4 linked regions of the Caenorhabditis elegans genome follow. The protein of the gene in region 4 purifies or fractionates together with the protein of the main gene of each other region. This does not show direct contact. Each region holds a gene or a part of one and is shown on either strand. Other genes may lie near its edges.

What was found.
Region 1: the proteins of T02D1.8 (region 4) and ddi-1 fractionate together in Caenorhabditis elegans (co-fractionation; one large-scale study listed by BioGRID). This does not show direct contact.
Region 2: the proteins of T02D1.8 (region 4) and C33A12.3 fractionate together in Caenorhabditis elegans (co-fractionation; one large-scale study listed by BioGRID). This does not show direct contact.
Region 3: the proteins of T02D1.8 (region 4) and shl-1 fractionate together in Caenorhabditis elegans (co-fractionation; one large-scale study listed by BioGRID). This does not show direct contact.

Annotation. Positions count from the first base shown.
Region 1 is NC_003282.8:6,521,077-6,525,076, reverse strand, and holds ddi-1 (Protein DDI1 homolog 1), read right to left. Parts: upstream 2,211-4,000; 5' UTR 2,204-2,210; coding exon 2,132-2,203; intron 2,085-2,131; coding exon 1,980-2,084; intron 1,934-1,979; coding exon 1,567-1,933; intron 1,517-1,566; coding exon 1,371-1,516; intron 1,320-1,370; coding exon 1,091-1,319; intron 1,037-1,090; coding exon 907-1,036; intron 853-906; coding exon 732-852; 3' UTR 506-731; downstream 1-505. Other genes in the region: C01G5.5 (NADP-dependent oxidoreductase domain-containing protein), read right to left, coding at 214-312, 366-437; gtnt-2 (Glycosyltransferase family 92 protein), read right to left, coding at 2,859-3,264, 3,310-3,416, 3,459-3,617, 3,675-3,963. UniProt on the Caenorhabditis elegans protein: Aspartic protease. Required for the cleavage and activation of transcription factors such as isoform a of the transcription factor skn-1, which in turn regulates the expression of proteasomal subunits such as rpt-3.
Region 2 is NC_003282.8:9,510,212-9,514,768, forward strand, and holds C33A12.3 (UPF0462 protein C4orf33 homolog), read right to left. Parts: upstream 2,792-4,557; 5' UTR 2,783-2,791; coding exon 2,654-2,782; intron 2,564-2,653; coding exon 2,492-2,563; intron 2,435-2,491; coding exon 2,381-2,434; intron 2,315-2,380; coding exon 2,185-2,314; intron 2,101-2,184; coding exon 2,011-2,100; intron 1,965-2,010; coding exon 1,873-1,964; intron 1,629-1,872; exon of another isoform or gene 1,552-1,628; intron 1,256-1,551; exon of another isoform or gene 1,184-1,255; intron 1,042-1,183; coding exon 916-1,041; 3' UTR 537-915; downstream 1-536. Other genes in the region: C33A12.4 (TFIP11), read right to left, coding at 74-172, 250-336.
Region 3 is NC_003282.8:6,378,017-6,385,733, forward strand, and holds shl-1 (BTB domain-containing protein), read right to left. Parts: upstream 6,055-7,717; 5' UTR 5,967-6,054; coding exon 5,865-5,966; intron 5,302-5,864; coding exon 5,074-5,301; intron 4,236-5,073; coding exon 3,787-4,235; intron 3,770-3,786; exon of another isoform or gene 3,749-3,769; intron 3,379-3,748; exon of another isoform or gene 3,358-3,378; intron 3,219-3,357; coding exon 3,110-3,218; intron 3,004-3,109; coding exon 2,788-3,003; intron 2,521-2,787; coding exon 2,344-2,520; intron 2,256-2,343; coding exon 2,153-2,255; intron 1,888-2,152; exon of another isoform or gene 1,867-1,887; intron 1,752-1,866; coding exon 1,559-1,751; intron 952-1,558; coding exon 870-951; intron 821-869; coding exon 743-820; 3' UTR 269-742; downstream 1-268. Other genes in the region: bli-6 (Nematode cuticle collagen N-terminal domain-containing protein), read left to right, coding at 1-92.
Region 4 is NC_003282.8:17,386,230-17,389,139, reverse strand, and holds T02D1.8 (DUF4440 domain-containing protein), read left to right. Parts: upstream 1-1,647; 5' UTR 1,648-1,690; coding exon 1,691-1,709; intron 1,710-1,759; coding exon 1,760-1,900; intron 1,901-1,955; coding exon 1,956-2,011; intron 2,012-2,058; coding exon 2,059-2,133; intron 2,134-2,174; coding exon 2,175-2,261; 3' UTR 2,262-2,356; downstream 2,357-2,910. Other genes in the region: C30H6.12 (BESS domain-containing protein), read right to left, coding at 2,357-2,527.

The sequences.
Region 1 (4,000 bases), about 11 Mb from region 4:
AAATCAATTATAATTCATGGTGCAACGTGAAGAGAATGGAATTACAGTACTCTCTAAAGGCGCACACCTTTTCGCAATTAGCAAACATTTGCCGCGCCGAGACCGCGTAACGTATGTTTGGCACAAAACGCGAGTCTGGGTAATGATATATTTTCTATCAGATTCTTTTTTTCCTAAAAAAGCATGTTTGCGTTTTATTTCGTTAATTCATACTTTAAGAGCTAAACCCAAATCCTTTTCATTTTCATAGTACTTCGCTGTGTCGAAACTACGGTATCCAACTTTGAGTGCTTCGTCGACAGCTGCGAAAAGCTAAAAAAGGTAAAATAAAATAACGAAGTTCAAAAATAAAAAATATTCCAAACCTGATCACCTTTGGCTTCGTATGTCCCGAGAGCCAATTTCGGAATTTCTTGTCCGTTCTTCAGCTTGAACATTGCTGCTATTTACAAAATCTATTATACAACCTGAAAAACGCCTGTGGCAACAAAATGGACAGCGAAAATGAAAAAAAAATATATATTTGAGATATTTACTGGGAATTTCCCATGGGAACAACTCGTGGTAGTTTCCATGGAGAAAAAAGAAGTGATACGCACAGAAAGAGTGTATTTGCAGAAAAAAAAGAATTCCGTATAATATTTGCAGTGAAGAAAATACAAGTAAAGTGGCATTGAAATGTTTTTGATGAAAAGACAAGGAGATTTGAAGGATAAATTGTAGGGGCGGAACTATGTGGATCCATCTTCGAATTGCATTTCTTCTTCAGGAAGTGCCATAATCTCTTTCAGATGAGAATCAATTTCATTGGATTGAAGGAATGGAGTTGTTGTTCCGTTGCCAAACTCCAATCTCAAAAAGAAAAAAAAATTTAGATTTCGCGAGATTTTCGTGAGGGAAACATACCGTGAAGTTTTCAGATTAATACAACACCCATGCTTACGGAGCACATTAAGCCCGATGAGAAGATCCATCTCACGACGAGCCATTACCTCGAATGGGCATGAAAAGTGAGCATCTTCAACTTTCACATCGCCTGAAAACATTTATTAAAATGAATGTGAATCAATGTTGGAAACTTTTGACTCACATAAATGAATCTTTCCCTCGATTTTCTCTGTTCCACCAACTCCTCGGGCCATTGACTGGAACCGTCTATCGATTAATCCATTAAGACCACAACGTTCAGCACATGCCATTGACATGATCGATTTTTGAGCTCCAGAATCAATGAAAGCTTTGACTGGAACACCATTTATAGTCAAATTGATGTAGAGCATTGTGACGGCAATCATATCTTCTGGGTGGTGGGTCATTGACTGAAATTATAACAATTTGTATATATTTACAGGCTTCTATTGTAAACTTACGTGTAAATATTGTTCATCAATCAGTTCTTTATTTCTTTTCGCTTCCAAAAACATTTTTGCTTCTGCTGAATTTGGATTGTTTTTGATAATTTCTTCCTTGTGAACTTCTTCTTCGACGTAGGAACGGAACATTTGCTCGAATTCCTCTGAAAATTAGATAGGCGTCAGATAAAGATTTAAAAAATGCGCTACTCACTGTAAGTCATATCTTTTTTCGCCAAAAAGCGTTCAACAAGTTCCGGCAAACCGTAGCCCAATTTGTGTGGCTCGTTTTTCAAACGGAAGAACATATTTTCTGAGAGCGCTTTGAACGTCGCAGGAGAATCCAAAAGTTTCCGAGAGAACATCGATTTTTCACCTTCATCATCTTGTTCAACTCTCCGTGTTCTCTGAGCAGACTGTGCTGAGGAAGACGATTGTCCATTAAAAATACTCGACGCAGCTGAAGCGAATTGCGAGATGAGCCGGACTTGTGCTGGAACGATCGATCGGAGATCTCCAGACGGACATGGGAACGCAGTGGTATATATGTAAACCATTGAAATTTGAGTGACGCCAAGTTGCTGAACTTATAGTATGATTAAGATTTTCTTTAACAATTCGATTTACCTCTAATGTCACTGTTGGACCAAAATTCTTCGATTCATCCGAAATATCGTAGACAATTGCAGTATCTTTCCAAATCAGTATTGCGTCGTTATTCAGATCACCAATCTGCAAAAAAATTGAATAAAAGATTACATTTAAGTATTAAAACTAACAGTTGTGTTTGGTGTAACACTTTTCTTTTGGAATGGTCCATCGTTAACGGCTACGCTCACTTGGAAAGACATCTGAAAATTAGAAGAATAAATGAGAAATGAGATTGAAAAAGGAAGAATGAGAAAAAATCGAAGAACATTTGCGTATTTGTAAATGAAAACGCTGCATCTCTAGAGCATAAACGCATCTAATCGATGAAAAAATTAATTACACAAAACCGTTCTCTCGGGAAACTTTTTGTCCTTTCAAATAAAGATTCGAAAGTTAAAAGAATGGAACCTGAGAATTTGTGAAGTAGAACATTTTAACTTTAACTTTATAAGCTTTCTCGACAACAGCTGTTCAAAAAAGTGTAAAAACTTGTCTAAAACTCGAGAAATTCTCGTGATGAAGGACGAAAACGGTGCAAAACGATGACAAGGAACAGATATGAAAGTGCGCCCCGCTGAGAATTTTTGAATTAAAATTGTGAAATGACTGTAATTTTTGCTGGAAACTGCCAGTAAATGAGGAAATATGTGTTTTACGAAATAAATTATTATTGCTGTCGTTAAAAATTCACGATTTTGAAAAAAAAACTTAACATGTTTTTGCTTCAAAAATATTTTTCCGAGAAGCTACAGTATTCCGACGCAAAATGTTTGGTATAATATTTTTATTCTCTCAAAAATACATCAAAATACAGAAAACAAAACAAATCAAAAACATTTATTAACCCGTAATGTTCTAAAATTTCGCAATAATTTTTGCAACCCTTTCAATAATACGACTAGATAAACCAGGAGATAGTTGAAAATGGAAAAAGTTGCCAAAAGATTCGGCTTCTCTTAAAAAGAAACTCCATCCTTTAATCAATCGATAGTGTCGGACAACTGCAATTTCTGGCTCCACAAGTCGGACTCCATAGATCGGATTTCGGAACTTTTGAACTCCGTGCACACCCATCGAGTCAACATTTCGGGACCGAATAATCGATTTTGTAGTATGATTCTGCGGTGCCACGTGGCTGGTGTTATGCCAAGTAATCATTGGAAGATTCTCAATTTGAGGAGCACCAGAAGAAATTTCAGAATATCGAAGAGTCCATTGACAACGAAAACGTAGTTCAGAGATTTTATGATCATTGCAATTTCTGTCAATATAGAGAGTTGGATAAAAAAGTAAGCAAAATGAAAACCTGATATAATCTAAAAGAGTAGATTTCTCATCAATCATCATGATCCTTTCGTCCAAATCAACCGTTGCCACCCAGCTTGAGTACTTTTGAGTTCGGAATACACAGTCCTGAATTAATTTTATTTTTAAATTAAAATAATTGAAACAAACCTGTAACTGCATCTCATGTCTGCATCTATGACGATTTAGACATTTAGTTTCATTTCCCATTTGTATTACTTCAAGGTTTGAGGAATTTCTATAGAAATCCAAAACATTTTCAGTTTCCTTTGAGATGTTGAATGAGTAAATTAGAAAATGGTCAGCGCCCTGAAATGCACTTTATTTCTAAAAATAACTACTCTACCGTAACCCCAAGACACTAACCTGCAACTTATAATATTCAATAAATTCCATCAACATCAACACTTTCGGAGATTCTCCATAAAGTGGAGCAAGACATACAGTAAACTCTGATTTGTTCTTTGTTTCTTTTTCTTTGTAAATCTGCTTCATATTCCCTGGAACATCCTTTTTGTTTATAGTTACAGCAACGAACTCGGCTTTTACTGAGGAACTCTCCGAGCACTTTATTGTTAATTCGGGGAAAACTGCCACGGCTTTCTGATAGATTTCCTGCCTATTTTCATCGAATAAACGACAGTAGACACGTCGGCTGAAAATAATTATAGATATGGAATGCTCACTAAGCT
Region 2 (4,557 bases), 7.9 Mb from region 4:
TAATTCACATTGAAACGCATCCATCCTCAATCCTCATTGTATTGGGAGTATTTGTATTTGCCACGTGGCATATTCAGTCGTTTTTCTCCTCGGTGCATTCAGTTGGAGCTGGTCCAACTGGAGTCTCATCATAGTCCAAATCCGGGCGGCCTGGATGAGATTCCTCGATATCCTGAAATAATTTTATATAGATTTCACAGAGTTTGACGGTAGTTTTCATTATAATTTCAGATAAATTTAAACTATTACCTTTTCCGGAATTGGAACACTATCCTCATCGTACTTGCTGTAGTCAACCTCTACATCAGGAACTTCTTTGTCTTCTTGATCACTCATTGTTGTCCAAGTTGTTGGCTTCAGATGCTGCTTATGAAAACGAGAATGAGCTCTTTTTATGCTGTAAGAGGCTCGCTAGCTAACCATTGCCACGCCCCCTTTTGTGCTCAATTTCCATGGAGACCCGAGCTAAACAACAGGTTTCCAGGGACAACGGGAGCTCTAGATCATGCGACATGTCATGTGGTTGTGTCTATTTTCGAAAGGAAAAGTTTATGAGTCAGAAATATAAAACAAGAGAATACTGAAAATAAATAGTTTAAACATTTAAAACACAAAAAATGAGGAGTGAAAGAATTTGAAAATGGGCAATCGGAAGAACAACACAACCTAATGGGGCATAGCGAAATTCTCAAATGAAATAGGAAGGAAAACAAGAAAATTTGTAAGCAATTTTGAGAAGAACAATAAACCCGGTTTCTAATAGAAGGTGAATAAAAATTTTCAAAAAGTTATAATTTTTGTTGTCGGATGACAATTGACACATAAAAGCCAAAATGGAATTGGTTGAACAGCTCAAAACCGGAAAGAAAACAAATCTCACTGATATATTGGAAATTTCTAAATTTAAAGCCAGTGTCAATAGTGCCCAGCCCAAAGATCTCCGTACTTGAAATCAGCGAAAGGACGATCTCCATAACCTTCTGGAATCACTCGGCGCATGTTGATTTTTTGGAAGAATTCCAGGCGGTGGAAGTCTGGTTCCTGAAAATTTTATTTTTAATGTTTAAAAAAATGCTAAATATTATGTATTCACCCAATCAATGTGATTCTCTTTGGAATAGGATGTGAGATTATATTTAATATATCCAATTCACCAAATTCTTAATTAATTAAATCATTTTCCCCTGCCTCAGAAGACAGGGCTGCAAAAATTGTACACTGGGTCTTTAGTAAGGCCCTGAAGTATTATAAGAAATCGACTATTCCCTGTGGCGTAAAGAGGGTACCCTCCCGTTTGAACCGACATCTGCCGGGTTCCGCCACCCTCCATTCTATGTGAGAGGTGGGCGGGGCGTCCGTTCAGATTGTGGAGACGGAGACACAACGAAAAAGGCATGCCGAAGGAAAACATGAAACGAACAAGAAATTTAATATTATGCAAATCGTGTTTAAATAGTCCCAGAAAGGATTAATATTCAACATCTACTTTTTAAAAATATTAGTTTTAAATCTCAGTTCACCTAAACAAAAACATTATCAACATAAATTTTTCCCCTGCCTCGAGAGACAGGGCTTCAAAAATTGTACTTCGGGTCTTTAACAAGGCCCTGAGTTAGTTATGGTTTAACGAGTTGAGACTCGTCAATAGGGTGAGTATATAGTTGCGTGTACGGACGAATCACGGGTTTCGCAGTCAACTATGTTTTATGTTTACGATGGGCGGAGCAAAATGAGTGCCGATAGTGAAGACAAATGTGAGAAGAAAAGATTATGAGTGATGGGCTCTATATTGGGAGCCAAAAGTTGCAAATTTTTATATTACAAACAGGTTGAAATCATTTTTTTTCAATAATTTATTGTATTAAAGCTCACCGAATAAGTTCCATCGGTCACAGGGCTCAATGCGGCGTAAACGCGTTCCGAATCCATTCCATGGATGTGATAAGCGTTAAATTTTGTAACTTCTGGAAATAAGATTTGCATAATTTTACAATTAAACTTAAAAATTACTGGATGGGAAGTATGCAAGAGGAATCTCGACTTCTCCTACCCAACGATTTCCAACCCATTTGTTGCGTACTTCGAGTTCGAGTTCTTCGCCTGAAATGATTAAAGATTGAAGGGAAACATGTAACTTTCGAAAAACTGATATTTTCAAAATACTTAAAAAGTTAAAATACTCACCGTTGTTGATAGTATGACGAACTCCGTCAAAAAGAAGGCAGAGCCAATGTCCATGTGGACCAATCTCAACTTCTAGATACTGTCCACGATCATTTGCGAAGAAGAATTCAATAACTTCGAAATCCCAAAGCTGAAAAGAATTTAATTTGGAGAAACTATTGAATTATATACTTTATCACAGTAAAAACTGACTAACCTGTGGTGTTATTCCTGGTGGATCGAGTGGTTCTGGATCGTCGAAGAATGGTGCCTGAATACGAAATTTTGTTGAAGTTTTTATAAATATATAAATATTCAAAATTATTACGTCGAATGAAATCTTGACAACTCGCTTATGTGGGCGCCCGACGAGTCGCTCAAAGTGCCACTTCAAGTCAATCTGCAAAAATTCAAATATACGCATTTACAAAAAGTTTGCAATAAACCGTAATTTTCTCGAATCTAAATGTATAAAAATTCGAAAACTCACTTTGATAGGCTCATGTGCAAGTGGAAGTCCATCCCAAGTATGATCAATGGTGTACTTGAGTCCTGCCATCGAGTTCATTGCCTCGGCTTTCTCGAGATCGTCATGGTCGGTTTGTACCATATTCCACATGACTGAAAGCTGCAAAAGAAGACGAATACACATGTCAACCGACATCATATGAGACGAGAGAATGTGGTGGAGACGAGGAAAGGCGTAGCTTATAAGGAGAAAGATACACAAAAAATACACGAAAGTTTAGAATGTTGAAAGCTTGAATAACGAACATTGTGGTATTTTGAAGAATAACTTTTTAAAGAGATACGCTCGTAATTAATATATTATCATTCAAAACACTACATATCCTCTTGTAAAATAAACTCCAACGAGTTAAAAGGAGAGAAAATCAATAAGGGATATATAAAAATGACTAAACTTTGAAATTTAAAAATAAATAATGAAATATGCGTCGAAAACTCTTTTAAATATCCAAAAATAGGCCTCTTGAAACAATTTTGGCACTCAATCTGTGTACTTTTACGTGGTGGTGTTTGCACACATTGCACACTAGCTGCCGACATATTTCTGCGTCTCTTCTGTGCACGCACTCTCTTGTCTTCCAACTGTACCGGTACTGTAGAATTTTGATAGAAATTAAACGAATTTCCTACTGGTTTTCGTAACTTCTTTTATCAAGTATATGTGTTATCCAAAATTTTAAAAACGAATGGCATCGATTGCTTAAACTTTATGTGGTCAGTCACGAGAAACTGTTGAAAAGTGAAAATGTGGGAATAAAGTGAAGCAAACAAATCAGCTGACCACCTCGTTTTCTCTCTCTCTCCGTATTCCACTCCGCTCCCAGTTTGCTTATCGCGCATTGTTTCCTTTCACGCTAACAAAAATACAATAGAATTCGAAGAAGCAGAGACAGTTTTGAAATCGTGGAATGAGGATGTTGGAAGTTGGCCAAGCGATCATTAGTTGCCGAAAAATGGATGCTTCTCGTCTCTCATCAAATTAAATTGTTTAAAAAATAACGAATCAATAGAAATTGTGATGCAAGTGTTTGCACCTCAAATGCACTCTGACTGTGCGAAAAAGAAACGAATGAAATAAAAATAAAGTCGTTGCGCTACGCATGACCGTTTGCAAAATTAAACAAACATCTGAACCAACACATGTGTTTTATTACACAGAAGATACATTTGAAACTGTCACCTGTTTCTTTCTGAAAAGCAACTCCAAAAATGTTTCAACAAATAATTAAATACTTTTCTGAAACTTAAAAAAAACATAGTAAATCTACAATGTATATCAAAATGATACGGTACCCATGTAGTCTTAATATAACAATTGTGAACTTAGACTAACCATAAAATAAAGAAATATATTTATTAAAAAGCAAAATGTTTCGAAACTTTTAGCAATTCTGTCTCGTGAGAGAGGTTCAGATAAGCAAAGGAAAACAAAAATGTCATATGCGTACAATAATGATGTAATATGTGGAAATAGTGATATCATTTGACGAAAATAAGTACAAAGATTAATTGAAATTTGAGGAAAAGCTCCAAATATATGTTTACCTTTTGACTGTTTTTCTTATTTTTAGTTACCGTATTTCCTCTATGTGTGTTGCAGCCGGAGTGCTAATTTGTGGCAGCTCAGAAAAAATTTCGACCGTCTTTTTTTGAATACTTTCTTCTATAATTTGAAATGTTTTTTATATCTTTAAAATTAACCGAAATATAAACTGTCAAAGAAGAGATCTAATCATGTAACTTTTTAAAAAAATTAATACATATATTTTTAGGTGTTGCAATTGGAACAGCCCACACTAAAAGTATCCAAAACTATTCAAAAGTTTATATTTCTAGTACACATACAGTTATGGAAGAAATTCGTAA
Region 3 (7,717 bases), about 11 Mb from region 4:
GACAAGCAGGAAGTGTTGGAGAGAAGGGAATCTGTCCAAAGTATTGTGCTATCGATGGAGGAATCTTCTTTGAGGACGGAACCCGACGATAAACTGTTGATAATTGCATTATTTTATGTATCTGTTTATAAAGTTTTTTGTAGTTTAAAATGCAATTGGAATGAAGCGGAATGTTGTACAGTTACATTTTTTCAGCAATGAGCTGATACAAATGAACCAGCTCACTAAGTTAAAAAAAAGTAATTCCCTTTGTGGTTTTCTAAAATTAGAAAATAAATAAAACTTTATCGACAGACCTGGAAAATTGAAAAAAAAAAAACTGCACATAAAAAGTTAATTTTACTTCAATTTTATATTTCCATCTGAAAAATCAAAAAAAAAATGAAAGACATCTGCCACCAATGGGCAGATCATCGGAGAGGCTCCTAGTAGCGGGGAAAATTTAGAGAAAAGTCACCTCGAACTGAAAAAGAAAAAGAGCGATATGAAGTTTTTCGGGAAACGGGTTCAATGGAAATATATTTGTTTCTAACTTGAAAAAGTAAAAATTACAGAAAAAAACAAAATTGCATCGTTGATGAGAGATTGGGGAAACCGAATAGTTGGGAGGGATGATTTCAGAAAACTTTTGTAAAAGAACAACTAGCTTCTAGAAAGACGGAACCGGTAGAGCAATGAGAGAAATTTTCTATAGAAAATGATTTTTAGAAATCATTTTAAAAAAATAAAATAAAGAAGTAGATTACAGTTGCGATACGCAAATTTTGTCATTATTTCGATGATTGAGTTCCATTTCATCAGGTTTTGGTAATTCACAAATCTGAAATTAATAATATAATTTTCAACAAATAACTGGTGTTAGTTTATACCTGATCCATATTCTGATTGAATGTTACACGAGTCTCTCGATCCAACTCTTCCATTTCTTCATTTTCTTTTGAAACACAGCATCTAAAAAAAATAAATTTCAGGAGATTTGTTGTTTTAACTCAAAATTGTGATCCAAAAATCAAAAATATCACCAAGGAAAAATGACAAAAATAAGAAGTAAATCCAACATCAAGAATTTAAGGTTTTTCCACTTTTGTCAATTTTGCTATTTGAATTCCCTCTAAAGTTGCACCAACGAGACCATTTCGTGGTACACTCACTTTTCGAATGGGGTTCTAATTTAAAATACTCAAAATATTGCTGACAAAGAAGAAACTCAAAAAAATTCAAGAAATAATTGAAACTACAATTTTTGAAAACATGGTATTTCAACGCTGCCTAATATCCTTGTTCTATGTTTGGTGGGAATTCAAGCAGACATCTTAGCCAGGGTTGCAGAGGCATATTTTTGAATTTTGGATTTTAAAACGCAACAATATTTTCTACAGTTTTCATTTTCATTCATGATTATTTTCCATTTTAAATGCATTAACGAAAAGAAAGCATCAGTGAATTTTTTTGATGATAATTTATTTTATTGATGAATAGTATAAAATTTTTTCTTATTTTTTTACCCTGAAATCCAGAGACTAATAAATCTTCAAAGGATTGAAAATCAAAAACTCACAATCGCCTTTTACGCTTTGTTTTTCCTTTCAATGAAGCTGTTTCACTGGGCGGAGGAGTATTTCTTCCACCTTCAAACATCACTTCTGATTCAACAAATTCACGTTCCGTCGCTTTTTCTAGACACTGAAGAAGATGATGATGTTGGATTTCGAAGATATCTTCGTCTCGGAGAGCATCGAAAGAGAGATGACCTGCAAAAATGCACTTTTTAGAGTTATCTCAATTATAATCTAGAATTTTGTACACATAATTTTTTTTTAATGTTTCACATTGCTAATAAATTAAGTAACCGAAAACCTAAAACATTAAATATAAAAAAACGGAATAAAAAAAAACCACAGAATCTGTTTTTTATACCGGATTCAAAATTTGTGCCCTCTTGAGCAAGCGGAATCACGAACTGTTTTTATTAATTTTTAATTTTAATGTTTTATATTTGCTTTTTTTGAGCCAACAGAAATGCCAAGAGACCGAAAAACAAAATGGAATACTTTTCTATATTTCCAAAGTTAAATATTTTTGTGACAACTCAATAATAACTAACTTAAGCCGGCAATACGAAATGTTCTAATGAAAAAAAAAACCAACTTACCCTGTTCAAATGCTAGCATCCGAGCTTCATGAGCTCTCTTCTTATTGAATAATGCTAGTCCAGACGCGTTTTTAACGATCCGAATTCTAGCAAGACGGGCTTTCTGAAAATTGATTAAATTTAATCCAACAAATTTGCAAAAAAATCACTAAGTGTTTAAAAAGGTTTTACAACTGAACGAAAAACCATACCTTCTGTGCTTTTCTCTTGTCAGCTCTCTGATTTTGATGATAAATTCGAGAGAAATTGCTGACAATAACTGGAACTGGAAGAGCAATAACCAACACTCCAGACAGTGAGCATACTCCTCCAACTATTTTACCCATTATTGTTGATGGAACCATGTCTCCGTATCCAAGAGTTGTTAGCTGAAAGAAAAATTAATTTTTTATTATGAAAAACAATGACTGTGTTGTATGAATAGGTTTCACCTTTAGTCTTCAGTGATTTGTATAATTAAAAAAAAAATATTTTAATTTTTAATTTTTCCAATGCAAATATTAACTTTAAAATTTACATTTTCCTAGTGCATTTGGGATAAGGTATTTGCAAAACGTTGAAGGTTTTATGGAGAGTATTTAACGTAAAAATCAAAATTTCAACCCCGTTTCTTAATTTTACAAAGAAAAACTCACAGTCACAATTGTATACCAGAAAGCTGACGGAATCGAGGTAAATCTCGTCGCGTCGACCTTTTTCTCCGCATAATACATAATAGTGGCAAATATGATAATTGCCATTGCCAGTGAAAATACAAGGAATCCAAGTTCACTTGCACACGATTTAAGAGTGTAACCCAGAATTCGAAGACCTTGGGAATGTCGTGAGAATTTGAATATTCGGAAGACACGCTGTAAATTTTAGAAGGATTTGATCAAAGAATTAATGATTTTTATCAGAATGTTCGAAAAAATATTTGGATATTCAATTTAAGGATTAACAAAAGAAAAAACTTACGAAAACTCTTAAAGTGACAAACAAGCCGGATACATCCTTATTGTCAGTTAGTACCAAACTAACGTAGTAAGGCATTATGGCAATCACATCGATTACACTCATTATTGACCTGAAAAAAGAAAACCATTTAAATGGTTAAAAAAATAAGGACGAATAAATAACATGTTATCCAATTTTGACAAATGTGTCCTTAATTATTTTACAGTTTCATGATTGTTATGAGAAACATCTCTATATTTTTGAACTGATAATTTTGAACAAAACTTTTGAAATCATAAAAATGCATTAAAGACGGGCTAGAGGGTCATACTGAAATGGTTGAATTTTGTAATGAGACTTCTCAAAAAATTTTCCAATTTTTTTTTGGCGGCACAAGATTTTGAAAAGAATTACGATTATTTTAGCTCAAATCTTGAATTTCGCGAACTTTCCCATAGCATTGGGTAATTCGTTTTTATTTGATTATTATTCCTAATTGCGTTTTGCTAATTTATTTTTGTATTAAATAATTGGTTGATTAAATTGTCTCTAAAGCCGATAGGTAATCAAAAAGCGTCAAAATTGGATAATTAGAAAATTCAAAATTTTATTGCTGTTTCAAATGAGTTTGATAAAATCAGTGAATATTTAACTTATTAGTGTGAGAAGTTTACATATTGATATTAAAAGAAACGTACCTCATAAATTTGATTCGGTCCGGCGCAGAAATCAACCGTAAAAAGTACTCAATCGTAAAAATGATAACACACGCTGTATCGATAACAAAGAATTGCTCTTCATAGGCTTCTCCACACGTCACAGACACATTATCCTCATACCCACAAGGTATTGTTTCCACTATATTACACATCACTGATACAGCAATAAAAAATCCAATGACATAATAAAATACAAGTGCTATTGATGTTGTGTGCGGATTCTCGAATGCCGCCCACATTTTCTCTTTAAGAGACAATTTTAATGTTGATATATCCGCATTTTCTACACGTTCTTCTTGTAATCTTTCTTGATTTTCTCGTTTTTTATCTTTATAGTCTTCATAGCAACAATCTGATATCAAATCAGGCATTATTCCAAAGAAACTGAGCTCTTCGTCGTATGCAACAAGACATTCATGACGGGGATACTGAAAATATGGATTTCTGGGAAAAATGGAAAGTGGCGCATTTTAATAGATTTCAACAAGTCACCACATACTCAAACGAAAATCTTAAATTTTTCAAAGATTTTTTTTATTAAAAAATAATATTGAAAATTATAATACAAAATAAAATTTATTTTGAAATTAAAATTTATTTTCGAAAAATATTACTCCGTTTCCTTTGAGAAATATCTAGCAGTCTTACAAGTTCATACTCATACAGTGTTTGAGTAAAACTTATTAACGCATTATTAAAATAAATAAAAAATGAGGAATCGTCACTTTTGAATAAAATTTTAAAAAAAATTGAATTTATAAAGGATTTACTACATTATTAGGCCATTTAAGCACCATTAGGCATAATTAATTTAAAATATTCTCCGGCGATGCTCCAAATTCTCAAAAAGCATTGCTCAAAAGATTTAATATTTTTCTGAATAAAAATTGCATCTATTTTACAATCAATTGAATTCTGTATATTTCCAAAAAAAAATTGCAAAACAAATGCGTAAGTTTGTAGGCAGATATTTTTAATTTTAACGCCTGCCTGCTGCCCGCCTGCGGTTTGTCTGTAGGCTCGAGACAGGTCTATGCTGCTTTGTTGGTAGACGGGGACATTAGCGCCTATGTGAATGGGTTAAAATTTGATTTTTTATAGAAAAAATGTCAAAGCATGATTCTACATTTTAAGAACATTTTCAGCGGAAGTTTAGAAAGTTGAAGAGAGTTTATTTTTAAAAAAACTGTTTCAAAAAACATTAATTTTTAATGCTTGCAATTTTTTGTCTCAAACTGGCTCAAACAACAAAAACAAACAACTCACATGCAATTTTCCCGTTCTATAAAATGTGAGAATGTGTCGGAATATGTCCGGATCCCTATCGAAAAAGTATTCCCCAGTGTCTTCATCATAAAAGAACTCTTTTTCATTTGACCCCAATAGAGTCTCTGGGAACTTTTCCAACGTGTTCTTCCACGTTTCGAACCTTCGTCCTGATATGTTGATTGCTAGTTTTTCGTCAGAGACATGATCAACCGCGAGGTCTTTGGCCTGAAATATCACATTGAGAGCTTGTGAACATATAGAGATCTACAGGCAACACAAAAAATTAGTTCATGAAAAAGAGGAATCTGCCAAATAAATGAAACAGTAAAAATTTTGCATATCCAAAGTTCAAAATGTATATTTAGTTTCCCTCTCACTACGGATCCTGGAACTAAAAAGAGGATCTAATCTCTCATTGCATATGACACTCGTATCAAATTTCCAAATTTTCAAAAGACATCGACCACCTAACACGTGTGTGAACAAGAATTTATGAAAGAATTCCGTATTTTTTGATGTTTGAACCTTTTCCGCGAACAAGAATTCCTAATTGTGAGAACGTGGAAATTTCCACTGTTTTATAGTGTCTATAAATGACCGAATAGAAACACAGAATGCTGCCTAAGTGTCTCTCATTAAAAATGAAGATGTGTGGCGTCACACAAAAATTTTTAGAAATATCACAGTGTAAAAAAACATCGGGAAATAAATATTTGGCGCAATTTTTTCAGATCAAATTTGGACTACTTTATATTTAAATTTAGAAAATTATTCCCACCAAACCTAACCTGTATTGCAACTGGGGCCTGTGGCATGGGCTGTCTCGAAATGGGAACCCATCCGATAGCGGCGGCTCTCGCGAACGGCAGCCACGCCGCCACCGAAGCCATTCTGAAGAAGACAACGACGACGGATTCTGAACACTTTTCCTGATGACGTCGTTTTCAGGAAAATTTTTTCTATTTTGCTGGGTACGCTGTAAAGCAGGAGTTATGAAAATAATTTTGAAAGTTGAAGCGAATTAATGAAAAGAAAAGAAATCATTTATGGGAATTGGAAATATATTGAAGAATTTGAAAGTTTGATTTTTTTGAAAACTTATATTTCAAGTGGTCTACAACAGCAGTTGCTTGAAAATTAAATAATCGAGCTTTCGTTTGAAGTTTGAAATAAATTAATCGAAATAAAAAAGGGTAAGTCTGTATGTGTTTTGGGATAATAACATATCATAAAAATACAGGCGCATAGGTAGGTCGGTCGACGTGAGATATGCGGGTACATTGGAAAACCGGGGTTTCAGAAATGTTACATTCTGGAAAGAAATTGGAGACACAAAGGGCTGATGACTAAGTTTTCGAGTTCAAGATAATTCAGAAATATTTTTAGAAATTACGAATTTTAAAGTATGGAGCCATATGTAGTATATGTTGAAATTTGTAGAATCATTTCAAATGACTGTGAAACGGAAATTTTAGTTTGCTATGCCAAAAAATATATAACTTACGGTTTCACTTAAAAATCACAGGAAAATTTTCAATTTCAAAATCAAGATTTTCAAATCAATAATTTGTTTTAAGCAAACATTTGCAATACATCAACTACGGTAACTCTGACCTAACAACAAAAAAAACTATGTTTTTTTCTCAGAATACATAACCTATATAGCTGAATAGTGGTCTCAAGCCAAAAGTGAAGTCTAGAAGGCTTGCACGTCACAAAAAACTGCAAAAGTGCACTTGTTTCAAAAAAAAACGTTTTTAGAAACAGCAGCCAACTTTAAACTTTTTGTCGTTTTGCAAAAACATAAGGTTCTTTCCCACTCCAATTTTGATGGTTTCCTTGGCGCAGAGCTCCAAACGGGTGACGACGTGTGGGCTCAAATTACCCGTAAACGACGCGAGACGACGTCGAGATCGGTTCGAGAAGCAAGAAGCCGTGGGACAAAAGAAAATGTGAAGGAAAGAAAAGGAGAGAAAAGAACTGGAGGGAAGGAAGAAGTGTTACATTTCCAGTTTCACACTTTTCCTCTTCTTTTTCAATTTTATCCAATTTTGTGTGTAAAGAGCCCTCTTCTCTAAAGGCTCGCGGGCTCCTTGATGCCAGGAAAAGAAAGAGAAAACGATAGACAAAATTGGAAAAGTCGACCTCTTCTGAAGACATCTTCAGACTAGAAAAAAAAGAAAAAGAAAGAGAGAGAGAGAGAAAATGAAACTCGATATTCAATTTTTGCCTGAGAGGAGATGACTTGCTTTCCTCGATTTTTTGTGCTTATTTCGGTTGAATTGGATAAAGAGAGAAGAAAAGAATAAGCAAAATAAGCTGAAAAAAGAAAAGGCACGTTACGGAAAAGTTGAAGAATTGTTTAGAAAAAGTACAAGTTGAAGTTCATCTGAAATCACGTTTTGGAGGGTTTTTAATTGTTTTTGAAAATTTTTGAACTTTTTGAAAAGTTTTTTGAAGGTTGATTATGTGTACTTCAATTAGTCAAATTAAACTTCATGTTAGGAAAGAACACCATTGCCTACCTGCCTAACGCCTAATTTCTACATATTTGGGTGAAGCATGGTGTTTGATAGTCCCGTGGATAATTTTGCGTGCCTAACCCAATTTTTCTTGTTTACTTGATTTGTTGAAATTTTAA
Region 4 (2,910 bases):
ATGGGTTGCTGTTTAGAGCAAAATTTGTGTCTCTAGATACTCTATAATGACCTGCTAAGCCAATCTAGAGCCGCCCGGACAGAGAGTATTCGACACTACCTCTGGCCTGCGTGAGACGGTGTACTTCTTGGCCAGATAATTTGCACTTGGTTCCAAACCAAGCCACTCTCGATGTGACGAAATCATCGAGTTTGTTGAAGTGGTTATCTGTTGATCCCTTTCGCCACGAAGAGGCTTAGTACAGAAAGAGTTTTTTTTTCTTTTTTTGTACGAGCATCTTTTCTTTTTACCGAAAAAGAAAAAAAAAACATCATGAACTTTTTGGGAGGTTTAGACTATTTTTAGAATATTCAGAAATCTCAAACATAGTGAGTCAACAAAATGTATACTCTAGATTAACGTGATTTCAGAAAAGGTTATTTACGCAAGTTTTTGGTACTTTGCTTCTACTAAAAGCTAAGCAAGCTTTTAATAAAGCAATCGCAGAATCCAAAAACTGGCTTTAAATTTCTGAAGAGACCACATTCATTAAATCTCAAACTTCGACAATCCTGCTTGTGCCTTTTTTACCGAAAAAGAAGACATTTTTCAGAGGGAACGTTGCAAAAATCCTTGAGTTTGGGGTAAGCCAGTTGCAGAATTGTACATTTAAAAAAATAATTGGAAGTTAGAAAACAAGATTTTTTTTCTTTAGAGACCACATCCATCAAACCCTAGACTTTGTCAATCTTGCTTGTGCTTTTTTAACCGAAAAAGCTCTTTTTCCTATTTTCTCATTTCCTATCAAGTACCCAGCTGAAATTAATGGAAATCTTGAAGAAAAACGTAGGACGGAATACGTTTCTCATTAAGAAAGTCATGAACTAAAATTGCGTTCTTATTTGAAAGAATTGGAGTTCTGTAAACAATAATAAAACATTGAAGACATTTTTCAGAGGGAATGTTGCAAGAATCCTTGAGTTTGAGGTAAGCCAGTTGCAGATTTGTACATTTAAAAAAAAATTGGAAGTTAGAAAACAAGATTTGCATTTTATTCATTTTACATATTTCGCTGCCAAGCAGCAACGGAACTTCATAAATTTTTGAAAAATTTTATTGAAGTATATTTTTGATAAATTTTGAAGTCAGATAAATACCTTTTTTTTTGATTTTCAAGAAATCTATTATCTGAGTTTGTTTAATCTTATAGTTAGTTACTCTTCAAAGTTATCACTTTTGACATTTGCGTACAACACATTTGTCTTCTAAACCCAAATTCCCCACTTTCTCGTAGAAATTAAAACACGTGTGCTCCGAGAAACATTTTTGTGTTAAAATGTCTATCAACGTTGAGGAAAATAATAGAGGAAGCAGGCAAGTGCCAGTTGTTTCTCTCTCTCACTCTTTTCACGTTTATCAGTGATTTCAGTTCATTTCGACTTCTCAATCGGTGTCACTGATTGGTTTTTGTGTTGTTCGAAGTTTAAACAATTTATCTTTGAATTTATATCTAAAATAGTTGATTCTGCAGTTGAAAAATAACATTATTGAAATTTTTTCATTTAATTTTTGGCGTTCAGCATTTTTAGCACGTTTTCTGAAATTGTATTTTTAACAACAAGCTTCAAACCCATTTTTACCGACTCAACCAATAATACATCTTTGTAGTTCTCTCTGCGTGGAAAACAAGTATTGAGCTTCAACTTGAAAAATGTCATTGACAAATGAGCGTAGGTCTACAGATAGTATAGCTTCCAAAAGTTTTTTTTTTAATTTTCAGAAGCTGAGTCCATTTTGGCTCCATTGATGAAAAAGTACCTCGACGCGTTGAACACTTCTAATTGGAAACAAGTCGAGAACTTTTATCATGTTAATTCGGTTATGATTGAGAAAGGAAAAAGTTGTATGTTTGGTAATCAAGGTAAAGATAATCATAGTTCAATCGATTTCCCATTAATGAAACTTGTGAATTTCAGCGATAGTGGACAGTTTCAAAGGAATGGGAGCCGATTTTGGAAAGTACGAAGTTCAGGTGATAAACATTTTAAACATTTTAAAATCTATCCTAACAATTTTCAGATCTCCAATTCTCGCTACGAAGGAGTTGGTGATTTTGTAAACATTCACACCGATTTTAGCTTTGTTACTGAAAAGGTTAAATTTAATAGATTTTCAAATTTAATGTAAAGTTTCAGCAAGGAACTCTAAGCGGAAAATTTACGCAAATCTGGAAGAAAGAAGACGGAAAGTACGCTATTCTTCACGATCAATTTGAACTCTAGATTCTGTAAATGTTCTTTTTCAACGGTTAATTATATGAATTTTTGAACTTTTTATTACAGTTTTGAAAATAAAATTATTGGTTTGAGGGGACGATCTAAAATAAATCAGTTTGAATAACAGCATCTCGAACTGTAACGAGAAGTTCTTTTCGGAGTAGCTCGTACTCTGGGAGATTTTCAATCTGTTTAGATGTGCGGGATGGAGCACCGATGAAGCAAGTGGCCAGATCGTTAGTTAGAATGGATGTCGGCGAACCTTCGGAGCTCTAAAAAGATTTCAAATTTTTTATGTAATTAGAATTGAATCAAACATGTGTTTGTTGTTACTGATATTGTTTCTAAATTAGATGTTTTCAAGTTTAAAAAAATTTCTAAAAGAAAATCAACATTTTGAAGGGCGTGTGTTTGAACTTTTTTGCCTGGGAAGAGGAAGCTTTTATATGAAACTTCATAAATTGTGGTGTGTAAGAAGTGTGTAAATTTAAAGTCAGCTTATTAAAATTTGAAAGCTTCAAATCAAATACTTAAGTAAGAATCAAGAAAAGCAAAAATGGCAAACCTAGGTAATTAGTTTGCGCGGGAATTCAAAATTGATCTAAAAAATAATTCAGCAATTTATTTTTTTGCGAAATTGAATAAAAACTATTTA